7 linked regions of the Sus scrofa genome follow. The protein of the gene in region 4 interacts with the protein of the main gene of each other region in a pairwise test. Links are inferred from orthologs where the notes say so. Each region holds a gene or a part of one and is shown on either strand. Other genes may lie near its edges.

Region 1 (3,500 bases), on a different chromosome or scaffold from region 4:
GCTGAGCCACCATGGGAACTCCATGCTGAGCTTTTGTGTTTGCAAACATATTATCACTTAAATGTGCACTCAGCACGGTAGGGGACTCAGGTAAATAAGACGCACCCATCCCCAAGTCCCTTCTGGAAAGAGGCTAGAACATGTGAGGTTAACACACAGGCTCTGTTGCCATCAGTAGAAACTCAGGGACGTTGCCTGCATGTCCCGTCCCTGCTGGACTTGACCCGACCCTTCGCAGGCCCTTCCGGGCTGCACTTTCTGCGCGTTCCTGGACTTCATGTTGACCATCCCTCTCTCCCACCCTTGTTTTTGAGCAGAAAGTTTTTAAAAAGCCTCATCCGGAAACAGCCTCAGGAGCTGCTCCTGGTGATGGGGACGGGGGTCAGCGCGGCCGTGGCCCCGGGAATCCCGGCGCTCTGCTCGTGGAGGAGCTGCATCGAGGCCGTCATCGAGGCCGCCGAGCAGCTGGAGGTGCTGCACCCGGGGGATGTGGCCGAGTTCCGCAGGAAGGTGACGAAGGACAGGGACCTGCTGGTGGTCGCCCACGATCTGATCCGGAAGATGTCCCCGGTAAGCCTCTCGGCCCAGCCAGCGTGCGGGCGGCAGCAGGCTCTGGGCCAGGTGGTGAAGCTGGGATGGAACGTTTCGATTCCCACCAGCCCACGTTGTGTCCGCGCCTCCCGGAGGGCGCCGGCCAGCCAGAGACGGTTCAGTTCACCAGGGGATGCCAGGCGTGCTTTGGTCCCCCGACGCAGTCTGTGTTAAATGGAGCCTGGATACGTGCGCCGTCTCGGGGGGTTCACGGTGCAGCCCTGGGGGGCTCCTCGAGGGGGGGGCGGGCATCCAGGTCTGTTTCTGGTCTAGGCGGGCCGCCACATCTGCACGTGACGAGACGAGTGGCTCCTAAACATTAAAGACGGGCGAAGACACAGCTTGTTTGTCTGCAGGAGGAGGGGGCCAGCAGAGGAAGAGCAGCTGGTGATACAGGAGGCTGCTGGGCAATGCCCTGGGGTCAGCGGTCCGACAGGCCATGTGGTAGAGGCCCGAGGCGCGCTTCTTCTCATCGAGTTGTTGAGGACGGCCGGCCGTCACCTGCGCCTTGCGGGGTGGATGCTGGAGGAGTGACGAGGAGGCCTGGAGACCAGCACGCAGGGTTCAGGGTTCGGGCGCCTGCAAAGAACCCAGAGTGCGTGGCTTCCACGTGGCCGCACTTACAGTTCTTTTTCTTTTTCTTTCTTTTCTTCTTTTTTTTTGTCTTTTTACGGCTGCACCCAAGACACATGGAGGCTCCCAGGCTAGGGGTTGAATCTGAGCTGCAGCTGCCGGCCTACACCACAGCCACGGCAACACCACATCCTTAACCCACTGAGCGAGGCCAGGGATTGAACCTGTGTCCTCATGGATGCTGGTTGGGTTCTTTACTGATGAGCCACGACGGGAACTCTCTGCACTTACATTTCTGACATTGCAGTCCGGTGGGGGGCAGTCCCGGGGAGCGCGGGGGCTCCCTCGTGGTTCTGCCATCCTCACCGCAGTGTCTGCCTTGTGCTTAAGGTTCGCCACGCTGCCTCCTGCCGGAAAGGAGTGCATCCAGCTAGTGGGGGCGGGGGGCGGCAGGGGACGGGGGGCGGCGGGGGCGGGGGGCGGCCCTTAGGGCTCTGAGGCACACCTCACTTTGTTTTCATGGCCCTGGCCATAGTTTTACCCATGGCCCCCCTGGCTTGACTGGAGTCTGGGAAGTAGTTTTAGCTGGGTGGCGATGCCACGTGTGGCAGCTGGCATCACAGGGGGTGGCTGTGGCTTTTTTTTCTAAGTAAAATGCACCCCATTGGTTTACACATTTTCTAGCACTGCTTTCATGCTTCACCAGCAGAGACCGTGTGACCAAAATAGTTTGCTCTGTGGTCCTTTACAGACAAGCTGCTGAGTCCTGTTGGGGTGGGGGGTGCAGGGTCGATGGGCCGGAGTGGGGCTGCAGGACGCTGGGTGGCTCGGGGCCCCTTAATCAAGGAGAGGAGGGTTGGGAGGTTACATGTGTGTGTTTTCGGGAAGTTCCTTAAAAGAAGAGTCAGGCCGTTCAGAACCAGAACGGTGTGTCCCCGTGGGGCCGGGCAGGTGGAGCGTTGGTTTTATCCGGGCTGGGTTCGCCCGGGGAGGGCCCAGACTGGGAGAGCGTATGTGAGCAGCAACCCCAGTGGCACATGAGGGGGTCTCAGCTGCTTCAGGGGACAAGAGAGGCTGTGGGGACTGAGACGGGCCAGTGGCAGCCAGTTCTGATGGGGTGCCATCTCCCGGGAGCCGGGTGCTAAGACCCGAGCGGGTGGGGGAGAGGCTGGACCAGGGCTTCTGGTAATGACGAGGTTTAGGACGTGGCCGTAGGCGCGGATGGCAGAGGTGGGACGAGACCACTGGAGGCGAGGGGTGAGGAAGGCAGAGGCCATGACGCCGAGAGGGGCGACTGTGTGGATGGGAAACCCACCTCGAACTGTGACAGAAACACCGCCGCCGAGGGGCCTTGTTGGTGAGCGGGTGCCACCCGCACACTCATTGGTCAGGGCATCAGGGTCCCAGGGACGTGGGGAGCTGACTTTCAGTGGAGAAGGAGCATGATGGTGTGGGGAGGGTGGACTGAGGGTGACTGGGGGTCCAGAGGCCGGGGGTGTGGGCATTCCCGATGCGGGGGGGGGCTGGGGTGCAGGCCAGCCGTCCCGCCAGTCCCAGTGCAGGGCTGGGTGAGGGGCGCTCACGCCGGGGAGCACGAAGCACCCCCCTCTGCTCCCTTCACACTGAAACTCTTCGGAGGGGTTGTTGCTGTTGCCGGTGGCCTCCCTCTCGCCAGCGTGGCCCAGCTGGGCTCCCAAGGTGGCTCTGGTCAAGGCTGCCAGTGACTCTCGGTGCTGCATGCAGGGGCCAGACCTCAGCCCTGTCCCGCTGGCTCTCTCCCGGTGTGACCCGATTCCCAGCCCAGTGGGGAAACCGGTACCTCTGTGGCTGTGGCACAAGGAGAGCCACGGTCTTCACTGTGGCCTCTGGGCCCCCGCAATCTGGTTCCGCAATCTGGTTCTGGGACAGGTGCGCTCACTCCCCTCTGGAGACCAGGGCCCCTTGCTGCCCTTGGCCCGGCCTGCGCTGTTCCCTCTGCACCCCCTGCCAGCTTGGATCAGCCCCTCCAGGGCGCCTCGCTCCCCATTGGATGCCCTGTGACCTGTCCACCCTTTGCCCTGCGGGGCCAGCCCCCTCTCCGCTCTGCTTTCCCTGTGGCGCCCGTCACAGCCGACCTCTTACTTAGAGACTTGCATCTTGCCTCGGCCTCTTCCAGAGTTCTAGGCTCTGCGAGGTCAGCGGTTTTCTTTCTGTTTTAAAAACACTGCTGTGTGCCCAGCTCCCGGGCTCTCATCAGCTGCCTAGGTGTGGAGTAGCTGCTGAGAGACGCTGTTTCTCCTAACTCTGGCTCCACCTCTCCGCAGCGCACGGGCGACACCAAGCCCAACTTCTTCCAG
Region 2 (3,500 bases), on a different chromosome or scaffold from region 4:
CCTGCGGATAAGGGGCTGGAAACACCTAGCTGCATAGCCTGGGGGAGATGGGTGGGCTTTAGCAGGTGCCAGAGAGGAGAGGAGGGAACCTCCTTAACCTTGAATTCAGGCGAGCCTGGGGACGACCTTGGATCATTGGTGGAACGGGCCACTGTAGCAAGAATCTTGACTTTCCATTGTCATTAAGTGGATTGGATAATTTTCATCCGGAGGACAAACTACTAGTTGTCCTCGGGCGTTTTGCTTGGGTGTATGTGGGCTGAGAATGACAAGGTGCGTCAGATCCCTAGGGATGGAAATGCTCAGCTTCACTTCATGATTCTTTTGCTCTTAAAATTGCTCTTTGCCCTCCTAACTGCCACAGTAAATAGCCCCACCTGTGCATATCAACACACAAATGAGCTGTTTTATGCTGCCAGTTCCACACCCCAGGGTCTTGTGGAGCAGTGAGCTATTGCTCTGCTTGGAGTGGGTGAAGACACTTGACCTTGGTCCCTCCTGGCCCCTCGAGGTGCTAACAGACACAGGGCTGCTGCACTCAACGGTTTGGCTGCTCATCCTGTCCGACCACATGGTCCTCATTTCTCGGTTCTTTGCATTTCTAATCAATTTTTTAACAATTGAGTCTATTGTCTGTGTTATTTGAGAGAGGGCACAGAAGATGCCTCATCCCTATTAGCAAATTCTTCATGAGCTGCAGTCTGAGTTTTTCTTTCTTTCTCTTTCCAACCCACCAGTGTGCCACGCCGAGCTGAATGCCATCATGAACAAAAACTCGGCGGACGTGAAAGGCTGTACCATGTATGTCGCCTTGTTCCCGTGTAATGAATGTGCTAAGCTCATCATCCAGGCAGGTAGGACCCGGGCCGTTTCCATTTGTCACATTTGCATTGCTACCTGCTCACTGCAGATGTGTTTGATCTTAAATTGTGATTGTTTAGATCTAAATTAATTGCACTATCAGCTCTGCAAGATATTTCCATGTTTTGTTTTTGAATGGTGCCAGGTATTCTAAGACTAATTGCATCCTCTGTGATTCTTAGCATGTTTTTAATTTGGTTTGCAACTTCTTAAACTGCAAGCTGCCAAAAACAACACAGGCATTGCATATAATTACTGTCAATTTACTATTCTCTGACATATTGTGCATAGATTAGGGGGAGGGAGAGAAATGAACTTCTGTCAGAAACAAGGTCAGCTGGGAGGCTGTATATGAAATTTTAATTTGTATCTAATATCTGGTAGATATTTGAGGACCTAAACATCTCTTTGCATATAAATGTCACAAGACTCAAATGGTACAACTTTACATTTTCCTTGCGTTACGGTTACCATAAATCTACACCCTTGTGTTTGGACTAATTCACCATTCTCAGACTGTCACATCTAAGACTCAGCTACCCTTTAGCTCCATAAAACTCTCAGCTTGAGATTTAAAGACGTAACATGTTAGCCAGATGTGTGGCTTAGCAGGGCTGTTTGTCACAAGCCTGTGGATCTCTGAGCAGAAGAGGTCTGTCGGGATCAGGGTCAAGGGCCTCCGTTAAGGAACATCGTGGGCTTCCTCACTGGTACTGCCCCATCCTTCAGGACTTCTCCTCACCATCCTTAAGCAGAGACGCGGCAGCGGGCATGTGTGGGGATCAGCTTCCCGTGGTCCCCTCCGAGGCTGGTGGAGGAGCAGGGTGGAGTGTCAAGTGCCCTCAAGTGAGCCCCGCTTGGTGAGACAGGGAAGGAAAACAGATCCACCCTCTGTCGAGCTGGCTGCACGCGGTCTGTAGAGCTGTTCTTGGAAGCGCAATGGACCTGATCTCTGATTTTGCCAGTATTTTCCCTAACCCCATTAGCCTCTTGAGTTAGGAGTCATTGCCTTGTGCAAAAAGAATATTTGACTGCCATCAGTAAAGAAAATTTGTTAATCGGATCAAGGCTTGACTATTTGACATGTTTTCCCTTTGCGTGTACTTTTTAAAAAGTCCGTAAAAGACTGGAGGGCAGATTAAATGTAATCCATCCACTGCTGTATTTGAAAGCAGCAGATGCATGTTTGGGTAACTGGACGTCGGGGTGTTCTCTTGCACACTCAGGAAAGGTGCTTAATCAAACACCACCAGGGCTTCTGTCCTTAGGTCTGTTGCACTCTCTCGATGGCCTATAATGAGGTTTCTTCCATTGTTGCCTTTTAAGGGATAAAAGAAGTTATTTTCATGTCTGATAAATACCACGATAGCAATGAGACAACAGCGGCGAGGCTCATGTTTGAAATGGCCGGGGTTTCCTTCAGGTACGTGGGAAGCCCTTGGGGGAGAAGGTGGTGTGAAGACTTGATGAAGAAGTACATTTGACCTTGTCTGACATCTCATGTCTCCTTGTGATGCCTGACTTCCCCACGTGGAAGCATCTTTTTAAACTTGAGGTGCTAAGATTCGGAAGATACTCTAAGCATAGATATTTTTGTTTCTTTTTTTTTTTTCTAGGGCTGCGCCTGTGGCATATGGAAGTTCCCAGGCTAGGGGTCTAATGAGAACTGCAACCACTGGCCTACACCACAGCCACAGCAACGCCAGATCCAAGCCATGTCTGCAAGCTGCACCACAGCTCACAGCAATAACTGGATCCTTAACTCACTGAGCGAGGCCGGGGATTGAACCCACATCCTCAGGGAGGCAACTTAAGGTCCTTAACCCACTGAGCCACAGTAGGAAATCCAGAGAGATTTTAAAATTTACTAGTTGGAGTTCTCATCGTGGCGCAGTGGTTAACGAATCTGACTAGGAGCCATGAGGTTGCGGGTTCGGTCCCTGGCCTTGCTCAGTGGGTTAACGATCCGGCGTTGCCGTGAGCTGTGGTGTAGGTTGCAGACACGGCTCAGATCCCGAGTTGTTGTGGCTCTGGCGTAGGCCAGTGGCTACAGCTCCAATTCGACCCCTAGCCTGGGAACCTCCCATATGCCGTGGGAGCGGCCCAAAGAAATAGCAAAAAGACAAAAAAAATAAAATAAAATTTACTAGTTAACATTAAACCCTTGTAAATTTTTCAGATGTAACAACTCTGACATAAAAAATTCAGGGTGAAAGTAACCTGCCAGGTTGAAACATGGGAATTCTTTCAACAGCAATAGTTTAAATTGAGATTTGGAGTCACTAGGATTTATATGCTTGTCTTTGCAAGGCAGGGATTGGGAGGTATGAGTTACTTGTGATTAAGTTCAACCACCTTTGGTTCCTGGTGGAAACTTCTATTGAGACTGAAAACTTTCTTTTTTTTTTTTTTTTTTTTCTTTTTAGGGCCAAACCCACGACACATGGAGGTTCCCAGGCTAGGAGGCTAATCGGAGCTGTAGCCACGGGCCTACACCACAGCCACAGCAACACCAAATCCCAGCCACATCTGCAACCCACACCACAGCTCATGGCAACGCCAGATCCTTAACCCACTGAGCGAGCGAGGCCAGGGACCGAACCCGAAACCTCATGGTTCCTAGTTGGATTCGTTTCCAC
Region 3 (3,500 bases), on a different chromosome or scaffold from region 4:
CATACCCCTTGGGGACAGGGGGCCACGGGGGGACGTATTAGTTCCGGCCTCTGCAAATGCCCCAGCTGACCCCTGGCCACTCACCCACCTGGTCATTCCAGGCAGAGATACAGTACAGGCTGTCGTCCTCCTCCAGCAGGTGGATGGATTGGCTCAGGAAACTGAGAGGCAGGGCCCAGGGGTTCAGGGAGGGGCAAGGACAAACCCAGGCACCCAGTGGTGCTGGAAGATCTGGAGATGGGACTCAGGAATCGTGCCCCCTTCCGCGCCCCCCCCAAGCCCCACTGTCTCCACTCCTCCTTCTACTCTCTGCTCCAGCCCCGGCACCTGCCATCCCTCCTTCGCTCAGGCTTCTCCCCCACTTTGGACCTTGCTTCCTCCAGAAAGCTCCCCGAGACCCCTCACTGCCCTCCTCACCGGAGAGCCAGTCAAGCCAAGAGGCCCCAGGCTGCTTACAGGAGCTGTACAGACAGCACTCTTCTCACCTGAAAAAATCTACAGCAATGTCCAGATCCTCTTCCAGAACCACAGCAAATTTGGCTTCCTGGGCGGGGGGTGGGGACCACATGACCCCAAGGATCGTCTCCCCCACCACGTCTCCCCCACCTCCTTCCCGCGGCTCGGGCAGCACGACCCACATCTTCCACAGCAGGACGACGAGGCCCAGAGGCGAAGAGCTTGCTATACGCTAAGACCAGGCTTATGCCCCGCTCTCTCCTGCCCAGGCCCACGAGCGCTGCCCGTGCCACTCACCGGAAACAGGTTGAAAGTGGCAGTGAGGCTGGCCTTGTAGTGCTGGGTGAGGAGCAGGAATAGGGCACATGAGCTTTGGGGTGGACAGCAGGGCCCAGGGTCTGCCCCCTCCGTCCTTGCCCAGGCCGTACCTGGGACACACGGGCGTTCTTGATGCTGATGGGAGTGTGCTGGATGCCCCGCAGACCAAAGAGCGCCACCACGTCCATCGGCTCCTGAGGAGCAAGGCCACCGGTCAGCACGCGAGCCGCCCGCCCGGCCCACCTCTGCAGGCGCGGACACCCCACCCTGCCCGTTTCACAGCCTTTGCCCGGGCTGTCTCCTCGGCCAGGCCCCGGGGATTCAGCACCCGCAACCCTGCGCTCTGCTCGGCCCCAAGTCCCCGAGCCCCACTCACCTCGTAGTAGCCGTCGATGAAAACTGTTATCATCTGGGGCGACACCCCCTGGGCTGAGAGCAGAGAGCGCAGCATCCTGGAGAGCCCAGGGATGGATCAGGCCTCTTCATCCCCCCACATAAGGGCTCCCCTGTGCTCACAGACGGGCCCCGATTTCCCACGTTCACCCACACGGGTACGTGGACCTATAGCATCGAGGGGTGCACGTCCGCCCACCTCAAGTGCTCCTCATGCAGGGCGATGAGCCCGGGGTTCCCCCCACCGAGCACCCTCCCGTGCAGCGCTGGGAACAGCCCGCTCCCAGGCTCACCTGTACAGGTAATTGGGCCGGTTTCCGGCGATGACGGCCACGGGCACGTGGAGAACCTTGTTGTCTGGAAGCTGAAGGAGAAACAGTGTCCAGCGTTTGCCTCCCGCTCTCTTCAAACCGGGACCCCCATCTGAGAAGAGTCTCCAAGGAGAGCGGGGCTCCAGGAAAAAAGACAGGGGGTCTTCAGCATCCTGGCCCCTCCGCACACTCAGTCCAACTCCAGCCCCAGGCCTCTGCTCGCAGGGCCTGCTCCTGCCCCACAACCAGGACGCCCCGTCCCTGGCTCCTGGCGCCATAGTCAGCCTCAGCTCCTGGTTCCCTCCCAGGCTGCGGTAAGCAAAACTCAGCCTGCTTTCCTGGGGTGCCCTGCCAAGCTGGAAAGGGGTCTCGGCCTCACTGCCCAAGGCCCCACTCACTGGGTCAGGGCTGAACTCGATGGGTGTGGGGTCCTTGCAGCTGCACACACTCCCATAGCCCTCGACTTTGCTGCAGAAGCGGCGGCGGCGACGGTTCAGCTCTGTGTCTGCCCAGTGGCACTCTGCCTCTGAGGGAGGGACGAGGTCAACAGGAGGGGGCGTGAGGCCAGTGTGGTTTGGAAAAGAGAATAGAGAATAGAATAGAGCCCCATAAAGAGAACCCAAATGCCCACCCCAGCCCGGGCGCTGCCCTGGAGCCCAGCCCCCACTAACGCACCTTCGGCGGAGCTCAGGGGCACATCTGTCTTCAGCAGGACTGGATCCCCCCAGGAGGAGAGGGCGGGTGACTTCGAATGTTTCTCCCCGAGGACAGGACCTGGCAGGGGGCAGGAATGAGGCGCAATGCGAGCCCAGGCTCCAGGTCTGGAGCTTCTTCCCAGCGCCCTGCCCACTTTCATCCCGCCCACCGCCACTGGCTCCGATTTGCCCCTCGCCCCCCGCCCCCAAGTCCTGGGGCTCTGCTCCTCCCAGGCCCTTAATTCTACAGGGTGGATGGCTGTGGTGCCGGCACCTCCTTTGCGTCCCACGAAGGCCCAGGTGTCCCTCCAGCCCAGGGCAGGGCCGGCCTGGCTGCCTAGGCTCCTCAGCAGAGCCTTGGCTGTGTCCTTGAGGTGGAAGGAGCCCTCGTCCTGGGGGACCAGAGAAGGTGGTCAGCCTGACTGGCACAGCTCCAGGAGGCCAGGTCTCAGGGAACACCAACTACAGCGTCTCAGGCACGATGCAAAACCTCTTACTTAAATCAGCTCTTTTTTGTTGCTGTTGTTGTTGTCGTCTTTTTGCTATTTCTTTGGGCCGCTCCCGCGGCATATGGAGGTTCCCAGGCTAGGGGTCAAATCAGAGCTGTAGCCACTGGCCTACGCCAGAGCCACAGCAACGCAGGATCCGAGCCGCGTCTGTGACCTACACCACAGCTCACGGCAACGCCGGATCGTTAACCCACTGAGCAAGGGCAGGGATCGAACCCGCAACCTCATGGTTCCTAGTCGGATTCGTTAACCACTGCGCCACGACGGGAACTCCAAATCAGCTTTTAATTGTCACAGCCCTCTGTGGTTACCATCGCTTCACAGGTAAGAAAAGGGAAAAATCGCAGAGATTCTGAGAATCACCCCGTGGTCACCAGGCTAATGGGTCCTTACCGGATCCCACAGAGTCTGCATTGCTGTCCCCTGCCACCTCCTGCCCGCTTCCCACCCCCCTGCTCCTCCCCTCCCTTATTCTGTTCCAGCTCCACTGGCAGCCCTGGTGTGTCTCAAACATGCCGAGCACCTCCCCAGATGGGGGGCTTTGCACTTGCCATTCTTTCTAGGATGCTCTGCCTCCATCTTCACAAGGCTCACCCCTCACTTCCAGCTTTCTGCTTAAAGGGCATTTCCTGACTGAGCTTTCCCTTTGGGAAATGCATCCCCCATCACCTCGGCTCCCGTGCTTAAGTTTCTTCTTCATACAAGTTATCACTTCCTGACACTCTACGTCTGTCTGGTTGCTTTTTTGATCTTGGCCTCCTGCAACAGAGTCCATAATGGTAGGGACTCTGTCTTGCTCTCCACTGACCAGGCTGGGA
Region 4 (4,247 bases):
AAAACTGGCTGGGAGAGGTGTTTCATGTGTTCTTTTTTTTTTCTTCTTTTTTTGCTTTTTTTAGGGCTGCACCTGTGGCATATGGAGGTTCCCAGGCTAGGGGTTGAATTGGAGCTACAGCTGCCAGCCTACACCACAGCCAAAGCAATGCGGGATCCGAGCCACATCTGCGACCTACATCACAGCTCATGGCAAAGCCAGGACCTTAACCCACCGAGCAAGGCCAGGGATCAAACCCACAGCCTCATGGTTCCTAGTCAGATTCATTACCACTGAGCCACAATGGGAAGGAACTCCATGTCTTTTTTTTGTGATGATCACAGTGGGTCTCCATGTTAAGTACTGTCCATGTCAAGTACTGTCCCCATCTTCTAGTTGAGTGAAAAGGCTTGGAAAGGCTTAGAAACAAACTCATTGTTATGGGCTGGATGATGTCCCTTCAAGTTTATATTCTAAAGCCCCACTGTATCTCAAAAAGTGGCTGGATTTGGAGATGAGGCATTGAAAGTGGTGAGTAAATCAAAAAGGGGTCCCTAGGGTGAACCCTAATCCAACCTGATTGATGCCCTTCCCAGAAGAAATTTGGACATGCAGAGAGACACCAGGGTGCAGGTGCAAAGAGGGATGACCACGTGAGACACAGTAAGAAGGGGGCCCTCTGCAAGCCCGGCAGAGTGGCCTAACCCTGATGTTGGACTTAGAGCCTCCAGAACTTTAGAAAGTACATTTCTGTTGGTGAAGCCACCCAGGCTGTGGTCCTTTGTTATGCAGCCTGGCAGACTAACACAGTCATACCACGCATCTGGTGGGGCTGAAGTTGCTATTCAAAATCAAGTCAGTATATTATAGGAAATTAAACATTTATATAAATACTCAGAAATATATTTTAAAAAAATCAAATCAGTATAGCTTTGATGCAAGCCACCTTACTACAACAGGGCTTCTGCCATGAAACCTCTCCTCCGACCCTCTCCCTTCAACAGACCGCCCAGGACACTCAACCAAGTATCCTTAACCGATCCCTCCTCTGTGACCTCACAGCACTTAGCACACTGCCTATAGTGGGTTACACACAACTAACCCATAATATTGTGGTCCAGTTGAGGGTAGGGCTCCTCTCCCATGGAGCCAGGTACATGGCAGTTAAATAGTTAGTATGAACTGAGCACTTGGGTGCCAGCAAAGATTTCACATGCATCATCGCATTGACATCTTAAGACAACCCCATGAAATAGGCATCACCACTGTTCCCACTTTACGTGTCAGAAGACTGAGGTCACAGGGGTTATCTGAGTCACCCCAGGACACAGCTACTAGGCGGTAGAACCAAGAGTCATATCCAGATGGTCTACCTTCCCAGTCTGCTCAGTACCCCCTCTGCTCCTCCGCTGCCAGTCTTGCTGTAAATGCTCACTCCCTCCCTACCTGGGGCGGCCAGGGGACAGGGGGAGGGGTGCGCTGATCTGCATTGCTCTCCCTCAATATAAGTCTGCACGTCACGCTAAGCCTGGTGTAAGGCTCCCCTCCCATGGAAAGCCTTCTCATAAACAAACTCCTCTCCCAGCTCCCACTCCTTCAGCACCACCTGGGCATCCAGTCTGCCCTGCGCCCTGACACGTGACCCAGAGTTGGGCACATGGGCCAGCGCTGATCAACATCTGTTGAACTGGAGTCAATGCCTATGGAGAGAAGCAGACAGGGATATACAATGCGGTGGCGTATTGGACTAGACCCCGTGACTCTCTGTTTCTGGATTGTCCAGGGGAGTTCCTTGCTCCGGTTCCATCCTCTCATCAGATCGTGTGCTGGGAATGTGGCAGAGAATGGAGCCTGGTATTTGGTTTAGAGAGGAGAGTCACTAGTCTGCTGAAAAGAGGCGGAGCGGCAATGAGATGGACTGTCTCACCTCCTACCTGCTGCTGGGCAAGTCCACTGCTCTGGGCCTCAGTTGCTCTGTAGGTGAAAGTGCAGTGATGATGCCTATTTCTACTGCCGAAATGGGATAAAATGCGTGAATGTATTTTGAGTATTGATGACGAATAATGTCACAGAAACCCAATCATTATTAGTGGGATTACTTATGATTTACTGACTTGCTTGGCCAGTAAAAAAAAAAAATTTACATATGTATATATGTAGTTTTTATTTTTGAAAATAAAAGAAGAGGTGTCGTGAAGAATGCAGAAAAAAAATAAATCAAGCCTAAAGAGAGCAAATATCCTGAGGCCTTTCTAGAGTGTTTTGGAAAAGACAGACCTAGATATCTCTAGGTTCTCAACATCTTGGGTGTGTGTGTGTCTGTGTGTGTGTATGCATGTGTTTGCGTGCAGTGCAGTGGGGGTGAGGGTGGAGGCTGGGCTGGGATAGTCTGGGGCAAAGTTTTCTCCAATTGTCTGATGCCACCCTCTGGAGGAAGAAGGCCTCTTACCTTTGCTGTGCTGTGAATCAGTTTCCAGCCAGGTAAGACCTCTTGGTACAGTCCATTTGGGAGCTAAGTTTTTCTGACTCAGCAGTAGCCCAGAAAAATACTCTTCCTCTTTCCTGTGGCCTGTCTTCCAGACACGCATGAGAACCACCCCGCTTTGCAGTTCATCAGCTCATCCCAGGCCCCGTCTGCAGGCTTTGCACAGAGCTGATCCATCAACCAGGGGAGAGAGGCCCCCGCAGAACAGCCACCCAGGAGCATCGGTAACAAGTCTGCTCTGGTTTGCATGGGGCCGAGGCCCCCTCCAACTTCCTCCTGCTCTCGCCAAAGCCAGGATCCTTTTGTTCACCTTTAGAGCTGCCAAATCAGACCTACCGCACCCCTGGATGTTGTTTTCCTGCAGGCAATGGGAAAATGAGCTTGGAACCAGGGAAGGGAAATCAACAAGGAAATAAACACAGGGTCACTGCCCCTCCAGGTCAGCACCAGGCTGGGACATCATCATGCTAGGACCACTTCCTGAACAGGCGGGAGCTGGCCACTGCCTGGACGGGTCTCAGAATCCTGGGCATCTTTTCATTTTTAAGTCTGCGAAGAAGCGTGCCTCTAGCTCAGAAGCATGAAATCTATCTCAGACAAATCAAGCAGTCCTGACTCGCTCCGATGCCTTGCCAAATCTTTCAAAGATTTTCCATAGGCAGCATCTCTCGTAACGGAACACTGGCAAATGTTTTTAGACAAAGAAAAAGAGGGAGCGAGTTCATGGCTGACACTAGCTAAGACTTTTAACGATATAGATAAGACATTTAAAGATACCCTCTAAAGATACAGGATTATCGTTTCAATAAGGATTTCTTCTACCTACTCTTCCAGGTCACGGTCATCAGCAGCGGCACTGTCTTTGCTTGCTTACTTCACTTATGGAGACTTTACTGTCAGCTGGGTCCTGGGCTAACGACCTCCCCTGCATTATTTCATTTAATCCTTGACATAAGCGTATAGTTCTCATCCCCATTTTGTGGATGAAGAAACTGAGGATTAGCAAGATTAAGTCACTCCTGCCAAGTCACCCAGCTGGTTAAAAATGTAGAAATTGCCTTTCTGGAAGGGTGTTCTTCTAAGCCCTGTTTTTCCCGCCTGTTGGCTTAGGTACTTCTGTGGTCTGACAGCTCCGGTGGTGGCCAAAGAAACTCTTCGATCTGGGAATGGAATTCTAAACAGAACCACAGATCATCAGCTAGCTAAGCGGTCTTGCCCTGGAGTTATGAATCGGTGCTACCTTTCGGTAACTTGCACACAGAACACACCTAGCCCAGGGACCCCTGCCTCTTGCTAATCCACGGGGGCACTGCTGGCTGCTGTCACCTGGCTGTCCACCGTGATTCTTTTTTTTTTTGTCTTTTTGCCATTTCTAGGACTGCTCCTATGGCATATGGAGGTTCCCAGGCTAGGGGTCTAATCGGAGCTATAGCCTCTGGCCTACACCACAGCCACAGCAACATAGGATCTGAGCCGTGTCTGCAACCTACACCACAGCTCATGGCAACGCCGGATCCTTAACCCACTGAGTGAGGCCAGGGATAGAACCCGCAACCTTGAGGTTCCTAGTCGGATTCATTAACCACTGAGCCACGATGGGAACTCCTCCACTCTGATTCTGATCTACCTGTAAGGAAGTGCCCTATAAATTTCGTGGCTTTCGTGTGTGCTTCAGCCTGATCACAAGTTCATCTTTTTAACTTAGAAGCCTAACAGTTAGGAGCTTCTTTTCATAAGTCATCCATAAGCTGAGCGATTCTATCTCAGCCTGGAAACGTCTGCT
Region 5 (4,170 bases), on a different chromosome or scaffold from region 4:
TTTATTTATTTGGTCCTTTTTTTTTTTTTTTTTTTTTTTTTTGCTATTTCTTGGGCTGTTCCCGCGGCATATGGAGGTTCCCAGGCTAGGGGTCGAATCGGAGCTGCAGCCACCGGCCTACACCAGAGCCACAGCAACGCGGGATCCGAGCCGCATCTGCAACCTATACACAGCTCGCAGCAACGCCGGATCGTTAACCCACTGAGCAAGGGCAGGGACTGAACCCACAACCTCATGGTTCCCCGTCGGATTCGTTAACTGCGCCACGGCGGGAACTCCAAGATTTTATTTTAAACGGGCAAATTGAGGTGCATTGTCTAACATTTATTTAGAAGGGCCAAATAAACACATTTTAATGTGTCAACAAATTATTTAAAGTCCTGGTCTCCCGAAAATTAAATCCTCAGGAGAATCAAAGCTCTTCAGAGAAGACTATGCCAAAATAGGATTACTTTTAACTCTGCAGGAGTCTTCTGAAGGGGAAAAAAAAGGGTTAAAGTGAAGGAAATCATTATTTAGACTGGATGCTATTCTTCCAGAACAAATTAAGAGCCAAAAGAGAAAACTCAGAACTGAGAAAAGAATGCTGATGGGGGTGGGGTGGGGGAGACCTGGGTTCAAATTTCACTTTCCATCTGCCTGCTGTGAAACAGGCTGCTGAAACTCTGGGAGTCTCTGGTTCCTCCTATGCAGAAATGGGCTTCATAGCTGCCATCACAGGGCTCCAGGCACATTAAGTGATAGTACCTGGATAAACAGGGTCTAGCTCCCCTGGCCTCAGGCTACCTTTCCAGCTCTTTACAACCTTTTCCTCCTACACAACCCGCCCAGAAGGTCAACAGCCAAGCTGAATGAGGTCTGTATGTTGCATGGTTTACATCACTTAAAATATTTTTTAATTAGCTACTGCTAACATTTAAAAATCAAGAGAGTACAGATACAAATGTAGAGTTCTGACTTTAAAAACCACCGGGTGAGCTAGATCTGGTTCTCCAGGGTCCCTCTAACTCCAACCTCTCTTACACCTAGCCCCAAAGGCTGATTCCTGAGCCACATTGGGGAGGAATCCTTTCCCTGCCCTTTCCCACTTCTTGCCTCCCCTTGCCTGACAAATTTCTCATCATTGTACAAGGCCCAACTCCAGGACCACTTATCACCCCCTCCACCTTTCCATGGCTCAGCCCCTCCTCTACAGCAAGCTGTCCTAGCACTGTCTGCATATCAGCCTTCTTTACTGGGCTCTTGGGCTCTCTGGAGGAAGGGACCCTGTTGCTATTGGCTTTATGTCCCCAGGGCAAAAAACCTGACCTAGATAATGCAGAGTTCAGTAAATGCCTCCTGAATGTGTGCAAGGAAGTTAGAGCTAAAAATCGTTATAAAAATGCAAGATTTTATATCACAGCTTGTTCTGACAGATACCAAATAAAGGGGTCAAGGACATTAAAAATGTTCCACAAAAACGAGAGCAAGCTTCCATTTGCATACAAGTTTCACAAGTTAGTCAGAAGTCACTAAATGAACAGAGGCAACAGGTGGGCAGGGTCATTCATTCATTCATTGAACTGGTATTACTAAGTACTTACTGTGTGCTTTCTAAGCACTGGGATAAAGCAGTGGACAAATCAGACAACTACCTGTTTTCATAAAGCTACATCCTAGTGGGAGAGACAGAAAATAAACAGGCAAATCAATAGAATAGCTTTAAACCAGATACTAAGGGGAAAATTAAACAACATGAGATAGAATGACTAAGGGAAGAAAGAGGGTGGTCAAGGAAGGCCTCTAGTAAAATGAGACATCTGACCAGAAGAAGGACCAGAAGGAGCCAGCCGTGCCAAGAGCCCAGAGACAACGCCAATTGCTGGAAAGAGCCAGTGCAAAGGTCCTGAGATAAACAGGGCTGCCTGTTTACAGCAAGTAAGACAGGTAGGCTAAGAGAGCAGTGCTCTGGGTTAGGGGAGTGGGGAGAGCTGGGGGGGGGGTGGGCAGGGCCCGCTCAGGCGTTGCTGGGCATGAGTGTGCAATGACGAGGCACTGGAGGAGCTAGAGGATGGGGGCCTCTGGGCAGAAGGGGCGGGGGGGGGGGGGGTCTTGCCACACTCGCACCAGCAAGGGGCAGTATCCCGCCCAATTTTCCCCAAATGTGCAATGAGCTCTTCCCCAGGCGCTTTTACAAATATTCATATGGTCTGACAACAATCCTGTCCAAAAGGATAGACATTTCCCCCACTTTCCGAGAGAAAAAACAAGGAATAGCGAGGGTCAATGCCTTTGCCAAGGTCGCAGGAACCAGACCCCGGGTTCTGAGCATCCCAAAGCGGGTGTGCAGCTGCGTGCCAAACAATCGGGAGGGGTGGCGCCTACAGACCCTAAGGCAGGTCGGCCGAGGCCAGACCTGGGAGCGGGCCCTCAGCTCCCGGCTGCAACAGCCAGGAAGACAGGGGGCTGCGACTAGGGTCGCCAGAATCCAGCAGAACCCGGTTGGCTCCTCAGAACTGGTCAGCCGGCCCCGCGACACCCAACTCCCCACCCCGCCCTCCACTCCTCCACGGACCCTGGCTGCGCGGCCCTCCTGCCGCCCCCCCCAGGCAGGGCTTGGCCCAAGCAGTCCCCGCCGGGCCTAGCCCGCCCGCCGGGCTCACCTCGCCTCCCTGCCGCCGCGCCTGGGGGAGAGGGCAGGCGGGCGGACTGGCGGCGCTGCGCGCTGGCGGGTCGTGGCTCGCGGCTCGCGGCTCCGCTGCCCTGGGCTCGGCCAGCCGCCCCGCCCCGCTCCGCTCCGCCACGCCGCCGCCGCCGCCGCCGCCGCCGCCACTAGCCGCCGCCGCAGTGGGTGTGAGGGGCGCCGGGGCGCTCGGACCCTTCCGGTCTGGCTCCAGCCTCCTCCGCCGCCGCCGCTGCCGCCGCCGCGGCGCCCAGCCTGACAGACCCGCGTGAAGACCAATCAGCTCGCGGTAAGCCTGGCAAGCGCGGCCAATCGCGCTGAGGAGGGGGGGCTACCGTCAGGAGGCGCAGGCGGGGCGGCGGGCGGAGCCAGGCCACTCAGTGCCGGTTTCTGCGGGGACCCGGGCTCCGCGGCCGTACTGCAGGTTGGGTCCGCGCTTGGTGGACTCAGGCACGGCCCTGCGCGCCAGCTGAGTTCGTTGTTGCGCACGGGGGCCAGCAGCGCGGCGGCCGAACAAGGAGGCGGGAGGCGGTGGAGAGGGCAGGCCGGTAGGACGGAGGGCCTGGCCACCGGGCTGCAGGTGCAGACTGGCAGGGACGAGTTGGCCTGGAGGAAGACGGAGCTGGCCCTTTTCGGGGAGAGCCCTCTTCGGGGAGAGCCCGGGGCGAGGGCGAGGAGAAGCTGGGATTTTGCATCCAGGGCCAGGTGGCTGAGGCAGAGGCGGCCAGGGAGTCGGGAGGCGAGATAGGGTCCTTGGATTCCGCTGCTCACTGTGAAGGGGTTTGGAGGAATGCTTCCAGAAGTCGGGGAGGAGGATGCGAGGAGACGGCCGTGTGTAAACAAGTGTCGCGGGCAGATCTGTGACACAGGCGAAGAGAAAACTGGCTGGGGCGCCTGAAGCAAAGGTCAAGCCTCTGTCTCAGAGAATGGCAGAGTTGTAAATGGGAAGAGAGTGCAGAGCTGACGGCCCCCTAGGGCCTGGGGGCTTTTGACACTGACCTCTTGAAGCATCTCCTGCAGCCCTCTTGCCTCTGGGTCGGGTTCCAGCAGGTCTGGAGTCCTGTGAAATGATGGGAGAGACCAGAGTATTGAGTGTTGTTGGATCTGTGTTTGGATAAACAAAGCCAGAAATGAGACAAGAAGGCTGTGCACATTGGAAAAAAGCTCAGAGGTCCGTGGATGGGGTGAGGGGAATTGGACTTTGGGGTGGGGAGAGTGTTGGACTGTGAAGGAGGGACAGCCCTCACAGGTGACCAGGACTACAGGTGACCAGGACAGAGGCCAAACCGGGAGGAAGGAGCAGGATTCTGCAGTGGAAGAGGTTAAGGGGTGGGGTGGCAGAATTTGGAGAGAGTGGCAAGCCTGTGACCCAGGGCCAGGCTGGGGGTACCAGGGCCTCAGAAGAGGGGTAGGATGGAGGAAGGGATCCAGCTATGGTGTCCCCCTCAGGCCACTCCCACTTTGGATACTGAGTATAGCACATCCCTCCTTGAAATTGTAGCTCCTGA
Region 6 (4,100 bases), on a different chromosome or scaffold from region 4:
ACTGATTCACTACGAGGTGCCTTCTGAAGTTCTGCAGCACAGTGGCCTTAGGCCCAAAACCTAATTTTTTTTTTCTTTTTTTGGTCTTCTGTCTTTTTAGGGCTGCACCTGTGGCATATGGCAGTTCCCAGGCTAGGGGAAGAATTGAAGCTGAAGCCGCTGGCCTACACCACAGCCACAGCAATGTGGGATGGGGCCGCATCTGCGACCTACACCACAGTTTACAGCAACACTGGATCCTTAACCCACTGAGCGAGGCCAGGGATCGAACCCTCGTCCTCGTGGATCCTAGGCAGGTTTGTTAACCACTGAGCCACAACGGGAACTCCAGAACCTAATTTTAAGTTAAGATTCATAGGTAATTCTTATGCATGCTAAATTTAAAAAATCATGCTGTACTGTAAAGGTATCTTTACCAGATTTTAAAGTTTACATCTCAGATGATGCATAATGTCTTTGCATAAATTGAAAATAACGCCTATCCACTTGGCACAACTGTGAAAAAGCCAACTTTGACAAAAAAAAAACAAAAAACAAAAAACAAAAAAAAAACAAAGGCTCTCAATAGTCATTCAGGAGTGCCAGAAATGTCTTCTGAATTAAGCGAATAACTATTAATTTCTCTCAGGAAACCATAGTGGGTCTCTATTCCGTATTACTTCATTTCTCCAAAATCTATTACTTTTTTGTTCTAAGTAACCATTAGAACTGTTGCTACACAATGTGCAACATGGTAACAAGAATTTCGGGGAAAAATCTCTAAGTACCATCAATTAGTTGTATTGAAAAACCTAGTAATCCCTCAAATCTGAACACACTTGCTGAGGAAGTAAACTGCCTCAAGCATTTGAGTGCTTGCTTTTAGTAACAAACAAAGCTGATTACAAGAATTAACCTTTTTAAATTTGGGGGATTCAGAACATTTTAAACAAAGGAAAGGCCAACAGAACATAGTTATTTCTTTCTGTCAACCGCCTTCCCCCCTCAAGCCCAGCAACAATAACAAAGAAGGCTGCTTATAGCAGATGCAGGAAGAGACACCTGATCTTTAAAAGCCTGGGAAAGAATAAGTTAGTACTACTCCAACAGGCAAGCTTTAATTAATTCATCAGTAGTCTAAATAAATTCTATTCCCTTAAATGGTTCAAGCTCTCTTGATTGTAATATAGGTGTCTATGGTTGGTTTTCATTTTTTAAGTCGCCTCCCCCGCTAAAAGCCAAAAAGAAGGCATATGAGCCCCAAATTGACCCAATCTTCCTTACTAACATAAGAGAGACATAGAAAAACCTGAGCAGGCACAAAAATGCGATCTAAAAGTGAAAAAAAACAACTAAAACACAAAAACACCAGCAAGCTACACTTGTGATCTAGTGCAGTATTAGTGCAGTATTGGTTACGGCTGAACTCAATCCTTTGAGCCTCCCAGCTCCCAGGGGGAGACCTTAAGTCTCGCACAGCTCTCTAGCAACCCTTCTGGCTGACTGAAGAAACACAGTGGACGCTTCACAGCAAAGGATAAAGCAGGGAAGAGGGCATCATCTTTCCGGGAGAGAAACGGAATCTTTAAATGAGGGAGAAAAACGAACGGGCGAAAGAGCAGAAACCTCAAAAAATTATGCCAAAAGGGACAATAAGGAGGAAGGGGAAGTAGATTAGACTAAAAGGGGGGAGGGGGCAAGTGACTTGCATTATACGGAGTAAGCATTTCGTGGCCGCAGAAGACAAGGGAGAAGTTTAGAAAGGCAGCAACTGTGGAGTGCAAAGTGAACAGAGGGACTAGAAAGCCCAGAAGACTAAAGCGAATTTCTCTAGTGCGCCTTTCTTTTCCACCCTCTTCTGAGACTCAAGAGTAGCAAAAGACAGAACCCGCGAGGGCACTTCGGCTCTTCTGCAAAGTATACTTTTGCTGCATCTGAAGCCAGCCTAGGTGAACTCCCTAAATAAGCTGTTAACTAGCATGGCTTTACAATCCTATACACAGAGAGAGCTGCAAATGAAAAGTGCCAGCGATTCTCTGCCCTCGATCACGGAAATCTTTCTTCGGAGCATTCCGATTAACTGCTGCTTACTTTTCTTAACAAATGTTTTTAGGGAAGCAGTCAAAAAAAAAAAAAAAGCGCAATAAAAGTAAAGGTATTTCTACTGGCTCCGGTAACAAACGTCCTCGCTCACAGTATTAATAGGGTTGGTGGGTTTCCTCCCAAAATTCGGCCCCCAAACACCAGGAGTTGGTGACGTGGTGGCCGTATAGGTCGAAGGAGCATCAATCACCATATTTGCAACCCGCCTCGAATCCCCCGCCTCCCGGGCCAAGTCACACTGACTCACAGAATGATTACCCTGTGTTCTCGGGCTTCTCCGGGTCCCCCCTGTGCAAACCTTCACGAAGAAAGCATAAAATTAAATCAGGAGCCCCCAGCCTCTCGTCCAGGGCTCTGTTCCAAGCCAAGGGTACTGAGAGGACGGTCCCCGGGAAGGAAGCGCCCCAAAAGGGGAAACATGGAGCCCGGAGCCCGGGCGCTCCGCTCCCCGCCCGGAGCCTCGCACTCCCGACCCCCAGGCCCGGCAGCCCACGGTACCCTGGGCCCGGTCCCCCGGGGCCGACTCCCGCGACGAAGCGGGGAGGAAGCAGCACGCGAGCAGCGCCGTCGCCGCCAGCCACACTCACCGTGGCGCAGCTGCTCCGCTCCACGCCCGGCCGGCCCCTCTGCAGCGGTGCGAGCGGCCGCAGACCCCTCTGCTGCTCCCCGAGGGCAGCGCCTATTCTCGCCGCCGTCACCGCCACAGTCTTCGTCGTCGCCGCCGCGGTCCGGTAGCTGAAGCAGCACAGCCGCCTCGCTTCCGCTCCTGGTCGGGGTCCCGCGAGAACTTCCCTGTGCGGCCCCGCCCCGCCCCGCCCCCGCGAGACTTCCCCCGGCGGAAAAGGCCCAGAGCGCAAGCGCTCCTCCTCCGCCAGGCCCCCCGCAGGTAGATCAGCTACAGGCCAGAGCGCAGGCGCCAGGCCGCCCCGCAGCAGGTGGCACCGACAGGGCTCCACCCCTGGGTCGCCGTAACCCTTTCGGTGCCAGAGCGGGTCAATTACAACTCACCTCCGAAAGAAAGGACTTTTTTTTTTTTATGCCCCACATTTGCATGATTCAATTGTCATATTACTTTTGATGGCCGATATCAACTTATTTTTTTTTTATTTCTCCACTGTACAGCAAGGGGGTCAGGTTATCCTTACATGTATACATTACAATTACATTTTTCCCCCAGCCAAGAAAGGACTTTTATGCACACCCTAATCACTTCGTTTTCCCCTTCCACCAACCCAGTTTGGCGGGGTTGGGGGGGAATCTCCCTCCCACGTGAAGCAAGCCAAATAGAGGATCAGGTCTGGAAATATTTGAGAATCTGGTCCAAACAAACTCTGCTGCGTTAGGTGAATGAACATATTCGTTCGCTCATCGATTGAACCAAGTGCCTAGTACATTCTAAGCACTGTGTCAAGTATAGAGGGTCCAACTAAGAACAGAAATCCGGGCCCTTTCTGCACAGAAACGAATTCAAGATCTATAGGAGGGAAAGAACAAATAATACCATAAGTACGGTCAGAATTATTTGGAGAAGGCTGAGGAGAGGCGAGGGGTCGCCGCTCCTCCCATCTCAGAAAAGCGTTCTCGGAGAACGCTGTGGCGTTATCTGAGCTGTCTTGGAGGATGAGTAGGAGTTTGCCAGAGAAGCCATTGCAAGGGCATTCCAGGCAAAGGGAACAGCACGCACGTACGAGGGAACGGAGGCGTGGGCATCGTGTTCCCTGCAACGCGAAGTAGTTTGATTCCTGTATGAGGCGGGGTGAGTTACCTGGTAGTGGCAGAAGATGAGGCTTGGAGGAGTAACTCTTATTTTTCAGTCCCAATCAAAGGAGAGAACAGAGCATCTGACGGTGATGTGAATTCCGGAAGCCACCAAAAGAGCAAGATATAAAAATTAAGAAACGTGGGAGTTCCTGTCCTGGCACAGTGGTGAATGAATCTGACTAGGAACCATGAGGCTGCGGGTTCGATCCCTGGCCTTGCTCAGTGGGTTGGGGATCTGGCGTTGTCGTGAGCTGTGG
Region 7 (3,928 bases), on a different chromosome or scaffold from region 4:
AGGCACCATTCAACAAGTTAATGACTTAAAGAACCTTAGAACCCCTGAAAGTCATTCTCCTCACCACTGCAGATACCCAATTATGGGCTTCATGGTTATGATGAACTAATGTAGCACAAATAGTCTGGGTTTATCACTTCTGCTACAGACTAAGACTAAGAATACTCCAGGACAAAAGTCCTGCTCCTACACAATAACCTATATACTGCAATACACACCTCCAAACTTGAATAAATAATAAAAACCTATTTAACTACTGCCTTCCCAAAGTCTCCAAGTAGCCCTTTTAAAATGCCTTTCTACTCAATTCTTTGTGTCTGGCATTCAGGAAAGACAACTCAATAAATTCCATCTATACATACCTTCAAAATTACCTTTGTGCTGAGTTCCTCTGTTCTTGAAATGTGGGAGTTTGAAAGTGAAACACTTTTTATAGTAACTAGTTCAGCGACATCTAAAGGAGTCTTTTGGGTTAACATTCACGTACAGACTGGCACAAGTAGCCAGGCACACAAGGAGAATGTGATTATGGTGTTAGGTTATCCTTAACCAGAACCACTGCAAAAATAGACTGTGTTGTCCAAAAACTAATTCTTTTTTCTCTCTCCTCTCTCCATGAGTTCTCGAAGGAAGGCACTTTAAGTTGAAAAATGACTTTAATGCTAAAACATTGTCACAAATAGTCACGAAACCATAAAAATTCCTCTTACCCTCCGTTTCTATAAGGTAAAACAGAATGATACCACCTTCCCAAAAGTAATGATAACACTTAGGCACAACATAAAGACAACTGGCCTACAGGGTAACAGATCGGGAGTACGGTTCTGAAGTCACATGCAGGCCAGCAGAGAGGATAAAGAACTGGACACAGGTGAGGATCTGTATCCCAGGTCTGCTCCATTACTATGAGACCCGGAGTAAATCATTCTTTATGCCCAGCTTCTTCTTGAAGAAAACAAATTGAGATTACGATTAGAAAATTGTTGGTAAACTGGCAAGTATTAAACAAATGTGAAAACACGAATGGCAGTAGCATCAACAAAGTTTCTGTGGTAAACTGAGAAACTTGAGTGTGCGAATGAACACGATTTTGAGCACGGGTGTGGAGACAGGGTAAATTTGCTTCCAATCTCTCCTAATCCTCCTCTCTCAGGAGCTCAGAAGGGGGAACAACAGGTAAATGGGAGTATCTGGCTTTGAGAGATCATCAGACATCTGAGCCCTTGAACACAGAAGGAACTTCTCTAAAGCATGACTCAGGATTATCCACAAGGCAAAGCCAAATCCAAATAAACATGTGTATTCCATTTTAAAAAGACTCCAAATATCAAAATCCAAGACACACTGAGAGATTCATAGAAGGATTCACCCAAGAATTCCTTTACACAGTAATGCTTTAGTTAAAATATGATTTATGAAAATTCAAATCACACAAACATTAAAAATGGCTGTCCTGACCACTCAATTCCTAATTATCTGTGGCATTACACAAGATGAAGCATTAGTATGGCCTGACAGTTCCCAACCAAAGAGCAAGTTCTCCCAACATGACAGCCATGAAGGCAAAAAGATTTTTCTTTTCCTAGCTACACATCTGTTCATTTGAAAACATCTCAATCCTGGGCTCAGTCCTGTGCTAAAGGCTGTCCCCTAGAATCTTTCCTATCTTGGGATCATTCATGTACTTGGGCATTTGTGACAGCAAGAAAATCAACATGCCAAGAGAAGAGGAAACAGGAAGGGGCAACTAGGCTTCCCCAAATATTCTTAGCCAAACTAGGTCACTTCGGGTCTCTTGGCCCCTCAAATCTCTTCTATTACAAACCCCTAAAATTGGATTTATCAACTTGTTATAGAACAGCTATATGTGAACAGCAACATAACTTCAGCAGAACATCCAAACAAGATCTCTGTTTCATTTGCGCGTCACCACCCCCCGCCCCGACACAGCCTCCGACAGCCTGGCAGGTGCTTCAGGGGCTCCCCATTAACGCGGCCATTTATCACCTCTGACAAGCAGCATTAAAAATGCCCTGACACATACAAATCTCAGCCTAAAGAACTCAGCTGCGGTCAGAGTGTCTCTTTGGGGCAGAAAATCCCCAAATGTCTTTAAATTAAGACAAATAGGGGCGAATAAGCACCACCCCCAAAACAACCATTTTCGAGCAAACCTCGAGGTGCCCCCGAGCGGGCCAGATTGCACTTTGCCCGCAGGCGGAGCCCCCAGTCCCGACCCGGCCCTGGCGAGGGATAGGAGACGCTCAGGGCCCGGGCAGAGGGCGCGCACCGGAGCCCCGAACCCGGGTCCGCCGAACCCGCAAGTTCCCGCCCGGCGGGCTCCGGAACCTCCGCACAAGGCCGGCCCCTCGGCCGCGGACAGCCCGCCGCGGGCTCGTGCCAGCCCCGGAGCGCGCCGCCCGGGCTCCCAGCGGTCCCCTCAGCAGGGCCCCGCCACCGCCCGGCTTCCCTTCAACCTCCCTCCCCCGGCCGCTTCGCACGGGCTTCTAGTGCCCAGCCCTCCCGAGCCCCGGGCCCCCAAGCCGTGGGCCCGCCCCTACTCACTGCGCGGCGGCGGCGGCGGCGGCGGCGGCGGCGGCGGCAGCTGCCGGGCCGGGAGACGCCGGCGGCCGGAGAGTGAGACCGCGAGGACGAGCGAGCCCGCTCCCGGAGGCGGCGGTGGCGGCGGCGGCGGCAGACGGGACGACTGAGCCCGCGCCCGGAGTTGCGGCTCCAGCCGCCCGGAGCGGACGGCGCCTCCCCAGTAGAAACGCGGCGCCGCGAGCGAGAGCGCCCCCTGACGGCGGCGCGGGCGGGTGGCCGGAGGGCCGAGCGGCCAGTGGAACTCAACCAGGCGTAGCCTGGGCTGCTTGGTTAGGCCTGCTCCGCCGCAGCCCCAAAGCCCCGCCCTGACGCCCCAGAGGCTCCGCCCGAGACTCTCCGCGTCCCGCCCAGAATCCGCCCTAGGTCCCGCCTCCGCCGGCAGTTTGGAATCAGCCCAGCCCAGGGCAGTCTTCCCAGTGTTCTCAGGCCTAGGATACCCACAGCTGTTTCTTCTGTCATTTAACCAACACGTATGGGGCCCTGCCCATGTGCCAGGCCTGTGGGGAGAGCGGCCACCAAGAGGCAGGGACGTCCTAAAGAGAAAAGACCCAAGGAAACAGCCAGTAGATAAAACAATGACAAGCTATGATCATTATGTATTGGGAGGTACATGATCAGAAGAATTAGATGGAGATATAAGCGGAGGGGGCCTCTGCTTCAGGTGCGGTGGCTAAGGAAGACCCGGACTGTGACCAGAGCACCTCTGGGCCTTGCGTTCTGTGGGATTGGTAGTAAAGTCACTTATCCAGCCTGGTGGGCACAATAGGGAAAGGCAGCCAAGCCTGAAGGGTCAACGTGGGAGGCCAGGGGGGTAGAAGGGCAGAGGTGACTTCAGCAGAGAAAACGACCAATGCCAGGGCTCCGAGGGCTGAAAGAGCTGTCCTTAGATGACCCTGGCGCTGGAACAGCCCTCATTTCACCATGAAGGAAGCCAAGGCTGCAGAGAGGGGGCCATTACCTAAAGTTTCAGAGCTAAGTGATCTCCAAGCATAGCCTCCAAATTCCATTCGGTTCCTGCTAACCAGATCTCCATCCCTTTCCAGGTGAGACCAGGTATGCAATGTTGGTTTTTTCCATTTCCCCTTCACCAGGATAACTACTTGCCTTGGAAACTCACCTGTACTTTATGTCTGCCTATGCATCAGCTGTCTCTGGGGTTTAATTTTATCTGCATCATCATCACAGTCATATCTTATATTTAGGTTTTCTCTGAAAACTCAAATCAATAGACTAAATAAATGACATATGCTTCATCAACATAATTGAGTGCTACATTATCATACTGAAAAAGACTACGTGAGGATACAGGTAAATGTGTGTGAAA

Evidence for each region.
Region 1: the proteins of LNX1 (region 4) and FAM118A interact in binary tests that used the Homo sapiens proteins (3 or more experiments, as listed by UniProt). The link is inferred for Sus scrofa from reciprocal best matches to the Homo sapiens genes LNX1 and FAM118A.
Region 2: the proteins of LNX1 (region 4) and DCTD interact in a two-hybrid assay, tested with the Homo sapiens proteins (2 studies listed by BioGRID and IntAct). The link is inferred for Sus scrofa from reciprocal best matches to the Homo sapiens genes LNX1 and DCTD.
Region 3: the proteins of LNX1 (region 4) and POMGNT1 interact in binary tests that used the Homo sapiens proteins (3 or more experiments, as listed by UniProt). The link is inferred for Sus scrofa from reciprocal best matches to the Homo sapiens genes LNX1 and POMGNT1.
Region 5: the proteins of LNX1 (region 4) and MAPK9 interact in binary tests that used the Homo sapiens proteins (3 or more experiments, as listed by UniProt). The link is inferred for Sus scrofa from reciprocal best matches to the Homo sapiens genes LNX1 and MAPK9.
Region 6: the proteins of LNX1 (region 4) and GRB2 interact in binary tests that used the Homo sapiens proteins (3 or more experiments, as listed by UniProt). The link is inferred for Sus scrofa from reciprocal best matches to the Homo sapiens genes LNX1 and GRB2.
Region 7: the proteins of LNX1 (region 4) and KCTD6 interact in binary tests that used the Homo sapiens proteins (3 or more experiments, as listed by UniProt). The link is inferred for Sus scrofa from reciprocal best matches to the Homo sapiens genes LNX1 and KCTD6.

The regions. Positions count from the first base shown.
Region 1 is NC_010447.5:4,089,085-4,092,584, reverse strand, and holds part of FAM118A (protein FAM118A), read left to right. Parts: intron 1-317; coding exon 318-570; intron 571-3,467; coding exon 3,468-3,500.
Region 2 is NC_010457.5:44,468,595-44,472,094, reverse strand, and holds part of DCTD (deoxycytidylate deaminase), read left to right. Parts: intron 1-737; coding exon 738-854; intron 855-2,187; coding exon 2,188-2,284; intron 2,285-3,500. UniProt on the Homo sapiens protein: Catalyzes the deamination of dCMP to dUMP, providing the nucleoside monophosphate substrate for the thymidylate synthase/TYMS.
Region 3 is NC_010448.4:165,215,841-165,219,340, reverse strand, and holds part of POMGNT1 (protein O-linked-mannose beta-1,2-N-acetylglucosaminyltransferase 1), read right to left. Parts: intron 2,566-3,500; coding exon 2,154-2,565; intron 2,005-2,153; coding exon 1,877-2,004; intron 1,619-1,876; coding exon of another isoform or gene 1,532-1,618; coding exon 1,461-1,531; intron 1,227-1,460; coding exon 1,151-1,226; intron 969-1,150; coding exon 885-968; intron 796-884; coding exon 754-795; intron 545-753; coding exon 486-544; intron 162-485; coding exon 89-161; intron 8-88; coding exon 1-7. UniProt on the Homo sapiens protein: Participates in O-mannosyl glycosylation by catalyzing the addition of N-acetylglucosamine to O-linked mannose on glycoproteins.
Region 4 is NC_010450.4:40,437,735-40,441,981, forward strand, and holds the start of LNX1 (E3 ubiquitin-protein ligase LNX), read right to left. Parts: upstream 2,801-4,247; 5' UTR 2,429-2,800; intron 1-2,428.
Region 5 is NC_010444.4:78,337,096-78,341,265, reverse strand, and holds the start of MAPK9 (mitogen-activated protein kinase 9), read right to left. Parts: upstream 2,801-4,170; 5' UTR 2,643-2,800; intron 1,656-2,642; exon of another isoform or gene 1,584-1,655; intron 1-1,583. UniProt on the Homo sapiens protein: Serine/threonine-protein kinase involved in various processes such as cell proliferation, differentiation, migration, transformation and programmed cell death.
Region 6 is NC_010454.4:5,939,423-5,943,522, reverse strand, and holds the start of GRB2 (growth factor receptor-bound protein 2), read right to left. Parts: upstream 2,801-4,100; 5' UTR 2,670-2,800; intron 1-2,669. UniProt on the Homo sapiens protein: Non-enzymatic adapter protein that plays a pivotal role in precisely regulated signaling cascades from cell surface receptors to cellular responses, including signaling transduction and gene expression.
Region 7 is NC_010455.5:40,209,369-40,213,296, reverse strand, and holds the start of KCTD6 (BTB/POZ domain-containing protein KCTD6), read right to left. Parts: upstream 2,801-3,928; 5' UTR 2,566-2,800; intron 2,523-2,565; exon of another isoform or gene 1-2,522. UniProt on the Homo sapiens protein: Probable substrate-specific adapter of a BCR (BTB-CUL3-RBX1) E3 ubiquitin-protein ligase complex mediating the ubiquitination and subsequent proteasomal degradation of target proteins.